2 linked regions of the Schizosaccharomyces pombe genome follow. The protein of the gene in region 2 binds, or shares a complex with, the protein of the main gene of each other region. Each region holds a gene or a part of one and is shown on either strand. Other genes may lie near its edges.

The links. Proteins that work in one complex are often made in the same cells at the same time.
Region 1: ufe1 (region 2) and sec20 share a complex: the UniProt entries of both Schizosaccharomyces pombe proteins name them as parts of the SNARE complex.

Annotation. Positions count from the first base shown.
Region 1 is NC_003424.3:4,103,067-4,108,217, forward strand, and holds sec20 (SNARE protein Sec20), read right to left. Parts: upstream 1,653-5,151; 5' UTR 1,557-1,652; coding exon 876-1,556; 3' UTR 667-875; downstream 1-666. Other genes in the region: RNA polymerase II CTD phosphatase Rtr1, read right to left, coding at 2,050-2,643; bbc1 (SH3 domain-containing protein), read left to right, coding at 3,761-5,151. UniProt on the Schizosaccharomyces pombe protein: SNARE required for targeting and fusion of Golgi-derived retrograde transport vesicles with the ER.
Region 2 is NC_003421.2:997,427-1,004,222, reverse strand, and holds ufe1 (SNARE protein Ufe1), read left to right. Parts: upstream 1-1,889; 5' UTR 1,890-1,958; coding exon 1,959-2,078; exon of another isoform or gene 2,079-2,106; intron 2,107-2,241; exon of another isoform or gene 2,242-2,275; coding exon 2,276-2,510; intron 2,511-2,598; coding exon 2,599-3,203; 3' UTR 3,204-3,511; downstream 3,512-6,796. Other genes in the region: formin For3, read right to left, coding at 1-1,093; SUA5/yciO/yrdC family protein Sua5, read left to right, coding at 4,055-5,281; mitotic spindle checkpoint protein Mad3, read right to left, coding at 5,603-6,535. UniProt on the Schizosaccharomyces pombe protein: Syntaxin required for targeting and fusion of Golgi-derived retrograde transport vesicles with the ER.

The DNA.
Region 1 (5,151 bases), on a different chromosome or scaffold from region 2:
TGAATGCTCCTACACTAGTAATCACCAATCGACCAAAGAAATAAGTACGAGATCAAACGACAGATACCTAGTTATGATAATTCTTTTAAAGACTTATATCTCCGTTAACTAACGTAAAGAGTTTGGTTAAAGACAAGTTGTTGTGAGACATCGCGGGGCATGTGCCTTAATTTATATCGTTATGCTTACGTGCTTGTAAACACTATATTACGCATTTGAAGTAGAAAGCACACAAACAAATAGAACCAGGACACTGAATAATTAGAACGTTTGGTTAATGAATTTTTACATAAGCAGTTATTAGTTTTAAGTTTATAGGTTTAATGGAGTTTGCTATCCGATCTCAGATTCTAGGCGTTCGTACCGGACCCTAGAAAATATGCGACAGACTTAACAAGATGCGTTTCCCAATTAACAAGCGCTCTAGTTTTTATTAGGAATTCAAAGAATACTGCTCTTTTTGTACTGTGGTCAAACAAATGGTTTTGACAATCAAAGAGGCATATACAATAAGAATGATTTGAAATGCAGCTGCATGCCGACTGTCGCATATTTCGTGAGCAAGAACTCATTTTGTTTACGGAATGGCGTTTCCCATTGAGTTACAAATACTATAGCATTACTATCATCAGCAAACTTCTACGCCATTCAACGTTTTTATTTAAAGAGAACAACACGTAAATAAAAACCAATCGTATAAGATAAACATTAAAACATAAGAACTACTTTACAAAGACTTTTTCAAAATAAAATTGAGAAAAAGGGCGAAAAAATAATTTCTCGTATAGATACTTCGAGCTCGATGGGAACGAGCCTCAAAAAGCCTTGCTTTTAATCTCGCCTTTCTTTTTAATAAACAATGCATTTTCAAAATCTCACCGAAGAAACCAAAGAAACATAGAAAGAATAGGCCAGACAATTCGCTTGAAGAGAAGATAGACAACCACAAATATGAAGAACCCAAATCCCGAGACGACTAAAAAGTAATCACTTCGATCACTTAATTTGAGCGATTTGATTATCCGTTTACTTGTATATAAAACGTCCTCTACACCAAAATATTTCTCTTGTAGAGTTTCTAACAAGTTGGTACTCGAAGACAACTCCATTGCATTTTCGGCACTCATATCCACTGCCTGTACCATTTGTGCGTGAATATCACGCATAGCCGCCGTGACCTGACTGGCGCTTGTAAGATAAATATCATCAGATTGCCACGAACCAGAGTTATCCATTGAACGCTTTTGAAGAGAACCATCACTTGGTGAGGTAATTTCCTCTTCATCTACAATCTTACCTATTTCTTGTGCGATAGGCAACCATGGTTCACCACTAGCAATCTTATTCCGATATCTTCTGTTCAACCGAATGTATTCTTGTACAGCCTTTTCATATCGTAGAACTGAGTCTAGCTGAATGGATGAGTATTCAAGCTCTACCCTTGCAGTTTCCCATATTTTTCTAAACTCTCGAAAATGCCTTTTAATAACTTCAACGCTTTCTGACTGTTGTAATTCAACAACTTTTTCTTCTAGTGCATTCAGAACGTCGGCCATCGAATGCTATGTTCTCTGCTTTATTGAACAAGTTAAAGGAGAAATAGTATTATGAGATGCAAGAGGAAAGAACGATAAAGGTAAATGATGATGAGTGGGAAACGAATGATGGATGCACTAACAATATAGCACAGCTGAAGGTGAATATAAGACTATACATCGAAAGGTTCGGTATATAGAATAAGGAAAAGAAATCAAATGCGGAATTATAAATAACGAGAAATAAAGATGCTAAGAGAGAGAAAGAGACAATAAAGATAGAAGGCAATAAGGTGAAATAAATTAGAAAGTGTAAATGGTAAAGGGAATATTGTATCGATCTTTAATAAAAAGTCGAAAACCACAGAAATGTTACTATGCACGCAACTGTAGAATGAAGCAACCTTTCATTCTAGTTCAAACGACGCTAGACACAAGTCGGTGTCTTTTTTGTTCAAAAATATTATACATATTCTGGGGTGAAAAGAAAAAATTTGATAAACTTCCATTTGCTTTATGATTGTTCATTAGCCAAAGGATGTTCAACGATTTCACCAACTTTTGCCTTATAACCCACAGGCAACGCTTGCAGGAGTAAGCGTACATCTTCAATTTTTTTGTTTTCCAACTCTTTACGAAATGCTTCATCTTGACGAGGATCGAGATGTTGTTTCATAGCTTCGCGAGCATCTTCACGTATCCATAATGGTTCGTCGCTCAACTCAACCATATATTGACAACTTTTTAGAAAGCAATCCTTCGAGCAATAATAGTTGAGTCCACCGTAGACCTTCATTCCTGAATCTTCTAATTTATACCTAGTTTGCTGCTTAGGTTCATAAGGACAAACGGGATAACCGCACAGATTGACGAGTTTACGCTCCTTCACCACTTGATCGTAATCACTTTTTCGAAGGTATTTACGAGCTTCCTCTAAAGTTTCTAGGGAAACCGGATCAACCAGCTTTTCAATCCATTCGAGGGCAAAAAAATCATACTGAAGTCGACTGCGTGCTTCATCTATAAGACTCTTCGACCACGTGATCAATTGCTTTTCTTGAGTGCTTTGAGCATTTTTCGGCTTTTTGAGAATTGATTTTTTGTTCATATCTGAATTGGATATATTGGAGTCAGCTGGAAAACAGAAGGTCTTAAAAATCGCTATTAGGCAGATATGAGTCAGTCAAGCATTGGAAGGAGGAATGAGCATCGTAAAAATACTTTAGCGCCGTGCAATTTTTGTTAAAGAGTTCTTGAGTTACGCAATTCATTTACAGCGAACTAAGACAGTGCGTTGGCCTTGGTACTAAAAATTTTGATAGAAATTACCCTCTCAGTTGAGTGTGGACAAAGGAAAAAAAATAAAGAAAAGCATGCGTTGCACCAATCATGTAAAGAAAGTTTTGTAGGTCTCTTTAAGAAAATCATTTTACCGTTAAAAATAATAATGATAAATTTACATCCACCCTATTCATATCTTCCACTAGTAAATAACTGGTCCTTAATCTTAATGATTCATATCCATATCCATACCATACCCCACACCCACACAGTAATCGTAAATATAGCAAACCAACGATGCTGTGGCTTCGTTTTAGGATTGCTAGTGTATCCTTATGTAAAATAGGAAACCAGATCCAATTGCGTAAATATTATTATAACGTTAAATAACAAAAACCAATCAACATTGATAAGCAAAATAATACCCAATAATCTTACAGTGCATTACGCTACCTTTGGCTAGTCGAACGAATCACTGTCAACAAGATGTTACGATTGGAAGGGAATTCCCCAGATCCTTTCCCCACAATGTTCATTCATTGAAAATCGTCTCACATGTAGTCAGTCGCTTCTTCACGTGCGATATTATCATTTGGGTGTTTATTGCTGTTAAGATTGACCAAACTTCTTTGTCTGCACAAATCGCGTGCCCTTTAGGAACCAAAATGACAGTGTACTGGCTTAGATATCCTAATAGAAGAGATTAACGATGACGTTCAGCTTCGCTATCATTTGTATATATTTTTAGTGGTAAAATAAATCGGCGGAGCCTTCATCTTTGGTATCTTGTTTTCTCTTTTTTTGGCTTTTTGTATATCTGTGTTTTAGGAAAAAAGAATCAGTGTATTGTATATTGAATGGTACCATTCTTTTTATACTGGTTCATTGTTTATCTGATCTCTCTTTGTACTTAAAAAAAGTATTAGCGGATCGCAGGCTCCACGATGAGCTCGTTTCCCACAAGAGTGGTTGCACTCTATCCTTATAGAAGCAGCTTCTCCGATGACTTGGAATTTGATCCAGGCCAAGTTATCGACGTCGTCAGTAATCTGGACGGCGACTGGTATACCGGAACATATGTGGACTCGGACGGTAACAGGAAAATTGGCTCCTTTCCAAAGGACTTTACCGAGCCAGCAGAGGATGCTGTGTTTGTAGAACGTGCTAGCGAAATGGCTCTTCATCAACCTACGCCAACTAGTGCTGTTCATTCTCGCAACTCTTCCTTAGGTTATGCTCCTTCTATTACACGTAGCATCAAGTCGATTTCCAACAATACAGAGCATCTTGGTGCCGATACAGAATCATATCTTTCAGCTAATGACTTTATTGACAGTACAAGTGAAGCACTTACGAAGATAGTTGATGTGGATACATTGAGTGCGCCATTCGGTAACGACAGCAACTCGCGTCCACATTCTTTAAAAAATGTGGAAAAATTGCATACATTCTCAGCTCCATATACCATATCTGAAGAGACGCCATCTTGCTCCACTGAGAACGACTCGCTACCACTTACCGCTACTCACACTATTACTGGTGGTGAGGATGCTGCTACCGGTGCTGCTGTAACCAACACCACCACTACCCACATTACTACTTCCACCAACACGTCTACCGTCATCCCCTCTAACCCAAATTCAGTTTTTCTTGTCGATTGTACTCATTCACAGTGCCCAACTGATTTACCAAACATCGCAACTACCCAACACTCTTTAAGGTATCTTGATAACGCATCTGCATCCGCAATAACCGTTTTGGAACGCACTCATCCCGCAGCTTCTTCCACCATGGCTACTGAGTCCTCCCATCAATCTCCGTCTGCGGACTCACAGGCAGAAGAATTATCAAAGAGCCAGCGAGTTGCAAAGGATGACGATCCTTTTGTTGTTTCCAATACTGCGAATTCCGATGAGCCAGCTTCAAGCTCAAAGCCCGCTAAACCCCTTACTGATTTGAATCGAGCCTTTTCTCAGCGCCTTAACTTGGATCCTCAAAAGCCCGGTAAATCACAGGGCGAAATCAGTGAGCAGGAGGAAGATGAATATGACGATGCTGAGTCAGATGAGATGCACAGTCCCTATAGCACTCACGAACCCGAATCTGAACCTGAAGACCAGGATGAACCATCGGAAAAGGATGATGAGAATAAAGATGTAGAGGAAGAACAAGAACAAGAGCAGGAGGAAGAACAAATTGATCCCGAAGAAGCTAAACGAATTGCCCTACGCGAACGAATGGCAAAAATGAGTGGAGGTATTGGTATGCATGTTTTTGGATTGCCTGGTCTAGCTGCACCTATTGGACGGAAAAACACTTTGAGGAGAACTCCTGC
Region 2 (6,796 bases):
GTTGCAAATCCGGTGGAGCAGCACATAAATCTCGAATGAGAGCTAAAGTTGCAACAAGGTAATCAATCAAGCAGTCCGTATCTTCAAATTCGTCCATGTGAACAATCGCTTGAGGAGATGAATCAGCACAAACTCGGACACCAGTAATCACATCATTAAAGGAATGCATCCATGCGCTAAACCGAGTTTTTGATAACTTTTGCTCGACGAGCCATTCGAAAGCCCTGATTACAGCTTTGAAGTAACTCAACCCCTTTTTATTACAAAGGAATTTAAGGAGAAAAGTAGCCATGCGAGCTGAATTTAAACTTTTTGAAAGCACAGTCTCAGCAATAGTACCTAGAGCATTAAATCCTGGAACAGAGCATTTAGCTGAAGACTGATAACGACGACGGCAGTTTTCGCTGTTCAAACAGTGAAATAATGACTGTATTATTTGGGATTCAAGAGGTGTTTTAGATGCACGTTCAGGATAGTGACCCAGGTTTCTTAAAGCAGACAGTAAACTTTCAATACCATTTCTTTCAGCAAATTCATCCATCCACCAAATTGGTTGAATACGTAATTGAACGTTTAATAGCGATAAAAAATGGTAAGTAGGTGGGACTTCAACGACTTTTTCAATGAAAAAGTCTATCCTTTTTAAAATTCGATTATAAGTTGCTTCATCTAAAACAGTATGTTGGTTAGTAAGAGGAGCATCATCGTCATAAAAAGTGTAGCGCTTGGTTCGCTCGTTGGTAATCTCTTTAACAATGGTAGGTTTTGGAAATACACGGGATTCTAAAGGATAAATTTTACGTAACTGCTCAGTTTCGGATAAAAGTTTATCATTTATTTTTGTCTTTTGGTGATAAACAGTGTTGTAGCACATAACATATTCGGGGTCATTATTGTCATCGGAAGTAAGAGAGAGATCTTCTCGCGACTCAAAATCATTAGTACTTTGTAATTTAGAAAGATCTGAATTTTCAGATAGGGAAATCGTAGAGGGTGTTCCAATACGTTCGTTGGAAGAGGTAGAGTAACTGGAATTTCGAGATTGAATAGAACGACTAGTAGGGGGAGACCCTTCAGGCATTTTAGATGCCATTATGAATTAACATACCAAACTGGTAATTTGGTTGTAAAAAAGATACTAACGAAGCTGATTAAGGAATAAATGGTAAGGAAGAAAGCAATCTTTGGTGAAAGAGAAAATATATCGTAATGCAGAGCTTAAAGCTCCGCGGTAATGTCAACCAGATTTTAAAATCGTTTGGATGATTATATTAAAAAGTTGAAAGGAACGCAGGTATCAGATGTGATGCGAAAGTACAGCTTTTTAGAAAAAGGGGTAATCACTGTATATTGTATAACAATAAGCAAATACTGAAGGTTAAAATCAATTAAAGTTAATAATATTAGCCTTATTGCAATAAAATGCTTGATAAATATGCAAATTTAACGTTTCGAAGAGCGTTGGTAAAGGATGAATTTATGTCGCCCAAACCATGTTATTATATAGCAACCTCAACACCAGCAAAACAAAAACCTTATTTCTTCGAGATAAAGGACACAAACAACTTTTTTCAAGCTAAATTTTTAAAAATAACTCAAAAATTGTAAACAATTTGACTGCGCTCCATTCTTGTGAGGTGTATAACTGGTTACGTTTGTTTGTTTACTTGAAAATAGCTCATTTCTAAATACTTCAAAAATTGCGAAACTTTAGCTTAATTTCATTTATTGTAGACATCGACTTGAAGTAAATAAACAAAACTCGTACAATGGAGTATTTTTTTTTGCTTTTTTGAACATTTGTTACGAGCACCTTTAAGTCTCTCAATTCCGTTTACCGTGTCACTATTCATAAGGGGATATGGAATGCTACCATTTTCTAAACATCTGTTCTGTTAATTTGAAATTCATTTAACCCGGGATTTATATTTCTCCTTTCTTAGCATCTCAAATTCTGAATGACGAGTCGTACGAATGAGTTTTTTGGATTAACAAAAAATGGCGACATTGATGCAGCAAACATTCCTTTGAAAAGAATAAGTTATACGGATCCTTTTTTGGCTGAAGGATATAGAATTGTAAGTTTGAGGACGAGTTTTCTGTAATTATTGAACCAATCGGAAATTTAACCTCAACTCAATTGATCACTGTGGAGATGCGCTACCATAATATACGATTAATTATTGAGTGGGATTGGTTTAAATTTTTGACAGTATTAACTTTTGTTATTGCTTTCTATATCTAATCAGAGAGTTCAAATTGCTAACGTTAGCAGCATGAAACGATTGTTAATCTTCTAGTATTTTTGAAAAAGATTCGTGGAGCTTATTTAAAGGACAGAACATTTTCAAATGTCCAAAGACTCTCAAAACCTTTAATGGAGTGTTCACTTGAGGAGCTTTCAAAGCTTGAGCTAGATGAGGTTCAAAGGGATGAAATAGAACATGAAGTCTCTTCGGCAATCAGTAGCTGTATTCATCAAATAGCTAAGTTGCAGGAGATTGTGAAAGGTAAGCTTAAAATTTTAATACTGGTAAAATTATGTTTACTTAAATTATAAACAAAACACAGGGACATGCTTGCTAATTGCATGAGTAGAACAACAAAGTCAAATCCCTAAAAAAAGTGGTTGGCTGCAAGGTTTAAGAGACCCTAGTAAATTATCGAAAAAGGAAACTTTAGTCGCCCACCATTCATCTGTTCTGTGGTATCTGCAGTCTGAACTTTCCGATGTTTCTTCTGTTCTATATCATTTACAAGATCTGAGATTAAAACGAGGTCAGGAAAAGCGAAACATTGCTTCAGACTTTTTAACAAAAAATCCTACTGATGAAAATTCAGCTGTTGAGATCCCTGAATCTGAATTACAAACATTTTTTACTCAACAGCAACTTCAAGAACTTGAGCAAGAGAACGATGTTTTACTCCAAGAATTTGAACATACTATGGAACGTTTACGTGATACAGGGAAATCTTTGGCTGATATTACTAGACTTCAGTCGGAAATATCCGCTCAACTATCTATTCAATCAAGTGCGGCTGAAAAACTTTATGATGATGCCCTTAATGTCATGGATTCGCTGTCTGGGGGTAATCAACAACTAATCAAGGCCAAATCTAGAAGTAGTCGGACCGCTCGTCTGCTTTTTTGCATCTTTACCGTTATGGGACTTTTATTGCTATCCTTGGATCGTATTGTTTAATTCTCTTCATTCTTCTGAAACTTTATATTGTAACAATAATGACAAAGGAATGAAACTCGTTCTTCTTTGATCATGTGAAGTTCATGTCTATAATCTCATGTAAATATAATGTTTATGCTTATTCTTTCGACCATTCCTTGCACGCCCAAATAAAAATTCCTTATAATTCATCTTGGGTACGTTAGTTTTCCAAAAATTTTCTGGCCATTTACTATGAAATAGATTATGGTAAAATTGTAGCTTGAAAAATCTAGTATGATCGAATGTTTATAGAAGTTCACAATCAGTCTCGATTAATTCAAAGTCAAATTTGTTTGTTAAACATTCAGCTATATAATTTAGATTGATGCATTGGACATTAGCAAATTAACTAAATGCTTAGTCAAAAGGGATGTATTGGAAGAATATATTCTTACCCTGCCAAATAACAGAAACGATAAAAAAAAACCCACAAATAAAAACAGTAAGTGGGTTCTTTTCATTCGTGAAATCATTGTCGCGCTTACATTTCTTTTTTACAACCTCTGTAGCTAAATTCAAATTTTAAGTAAAGATCGTCGTCAATCACTACTCTAGTAAAATTTCTCAAACGAGATTTTATTTTCGTATTTAGAGTAAAATAATCTTGAGTTTTTAAATATATCTTCAACAATTATTTCTCTTACTTTGCAAGAGTCGACAACCAGCAATGATGCGCTTCAACTTAATAATAGCAATCAACTTCACCCTTCTCTCTATCAGCATTTAGCTTCTTCTTTCTAAATCAATTAACATAAAACAAGCTGAAGTATTACAATTTTATAGCAAAATTGGCCTCAGTAAGCCAGAAACTTAGGTTTTCTTCCTTGACAATGGAAACAAAAATTCAAACAGTTGATACTCGCCTTATCTCTTTTGAAAAGCCTAGTAATGATTCGGAACATCCTTTTGAACACACAAGGGTGTCCATACCTCCCTCAGAAACTCGTTCTGCATTAGAGAACGCCGCGAATATATTGAGAAACACCGATTATCCAGTTGCTTTTCCTACCGAAACAGTTTACGGTCTCGGTGCTGATGCCCGAAGGACTGAAGCAGTCTTGTCAATATACAAAGCAAAGAACCGCCCTGCTGATAACCCTTTGATTGTACATGTTGCTTCTCTGGATCAGCTACGTAGATTGCTGTTGAGTGCATATCCTAAAGCAAAGTCAGAAGTAAAAAATCAAGCACATGACTCAGAGGAGATTATTCCAAAAGTTTATTTACCGTTGATTAAAAAGTTTTGGCCTGGTCCACTCTCAATTTTGCTGCCAGTTGTTGACGAGGCTAATCCCCCGGTCTCACCAATTGTGACAGCAGGACAAAAAACGTTTGCTGTTCGCATGCCTCAACATCCTGTTGCGCTTGCCCTTATTTCTATTTCAGATTCGCCGTTAGCTGCACCATCGGCTAATGCTTCAACAAGGCCATCTCCTACGTTAGCTAAGCACGTTTACAATGATTTACAAGGTAAAATTCCTTTAATTTTAGATGGGGGAGCATGCGGTGTTGGTGTGGAGAGTACAGTTGTAAATGGACTTTGTGATCCTCCCGTAATTTTACGGCCAGGAGGCATAAGTTTAGAAGAAATTCAAAGCTCTGGAGGGGCCTGGGAGCGAACAAAAGTATTCGTAGCTAAAAAAAGTGATATGGAAACAGATTTCATCCCTCAAACTCCTGGTATGAAATACAGACACTACTCTCCAACTGCCAAAGTGCTACTTTTTGTCAATTACACAGAATCTGATGCATACGGTGTTTTTGAAAAGTATTTATCTGAGCAGGGAATCACTAAGGAAAAGCAGAAGATTGGTGTTTTATGTAGTAAACGTTGGAACGAAGAGTCATTCCCTTCTCACTGTCCGTTTGTATTTTTGCATATGGGAAGGGATGGACATGAAATTACAAAGAATTTATTCGCTCAATTGCGAGATTTGGATCTGCAGGGAGTTGATTTTGTTTTGGTTGAAGGTGTCTCCGAGGAAAATGAAGGGCTAGCTATCATGAATCGTTTGGGCAAAGCTGCTTCTGTGGTTTTTGAGGGGCCTTCTCATTAGTTAAAATATTTATAGCTAAGGGGTCTTAGCTTTACTTGTATAGAGGTGTAATTACTTATCGAGCTATCTGTTTATTATTTTGATAAATTGTCTATAAAAGAATTATTTATATCATATTCATTAACTTATGGCTGACTATAATTAATTTGAGAGTAAAATATAAAAAAAAGCTGCAAATCGTAGTATAAATAAGATGCTTTATGTTAAGTTCGTATAACCCTTAAAATTCGCATGTTTCAACCTATTTCTTATTCCGGGAGTCATGATGTACAATAGTTGTTAATCTAATAACGCCAATACTTTAAATCTTTTCTTTATCGGTTATTCTTTCGATACTTCCTCATCACAATGAACTTGAAATTTCCCAAGAGGGTCCAATTTTCTTGGAGATTTCAAAGGCAACTTTTCGCCTACCCAAGAAGTAGCCGATATGTTGTTTTCTTTACGCCTTTGATCAACTGTACCAAGAGTTTGCCAGGTCCCAGGTTGGCCATCCTTTCCAGAACCATCCGCATCTGAATAAACAGAAAATTTAAATTTAGGTTTAGAAATTTTAGTCCTAGACTGGGATATTTCCTGGATATTTGTTGACTCAAATGTCGTTTGTAAAGGATTAACCGAATTTGTATTTGAAGAGAATGATTGTGGGGCAAATTCCAACCAACGGTGAGTAAATTGCTGATACTTTTGCTGAAATCTCAAAAATGGCTTAGCCTTCATTCTTTTTCCTTTCTGATAAACTTCGTCAGCTTTTTGAAACAATCCCCTAGACTCGAAATAATTTGCGTATTCCTCATAAAAAATCGAGGACTCCTGTCCAATATGATGATGTGCCAAGAAAGAAAATAATTCAACCGGTTCGTCTATATAGTTTACATATTGCATCCATATTCGTAAATACCGAACATCATCTTTATAAAGCGGATTTCGTACGAATTCTCGAGTACACCTTTCTAACAATGTTACCAGTCCACTAGTTTTTGTTTCACCTTGAGGGAAATTATCCAAGGTCCATTTAATATAATCGATCCAAACTTGTAGTGGATCATCAAGAGACTCGCTCGTCTCTATTTTTCGTTCATGGCCCATCCTTTCTTTTTGCAGACCAGCAACTTCTTTTTCGGTGTGGTTTCGCGACGAAGATTTTGCAAGTGCAGAAGCTGAATGACCAGCTTTTCTAGGCTCTATGTTTTCCTTGGACTGCTCAATGACATCCATATGCACCCAGTTCTTGCCAGCATCTAATGGTTCCATTTGTAGTCAATGTCTTCCAAAAAATTAGTAAACCTTTTCTAGAGAACCCTATACCTTCCACTAAATGAAAATAAATAAAACAAAGAAGGAGATGTGAGTGTAGTAGTATTGGAAAGTTTATTTAGACAAGTACAATTCTATTGAAAGAACGAAAATAGCCAGTATATAGTTTAATAGAAGGTGTACTGAAAGCTTTTGTATAAAATTAAAAGTGTCAACACTCAAAGAGCAAGAGTAGGAATGTATGAAAGATTGTGCGTA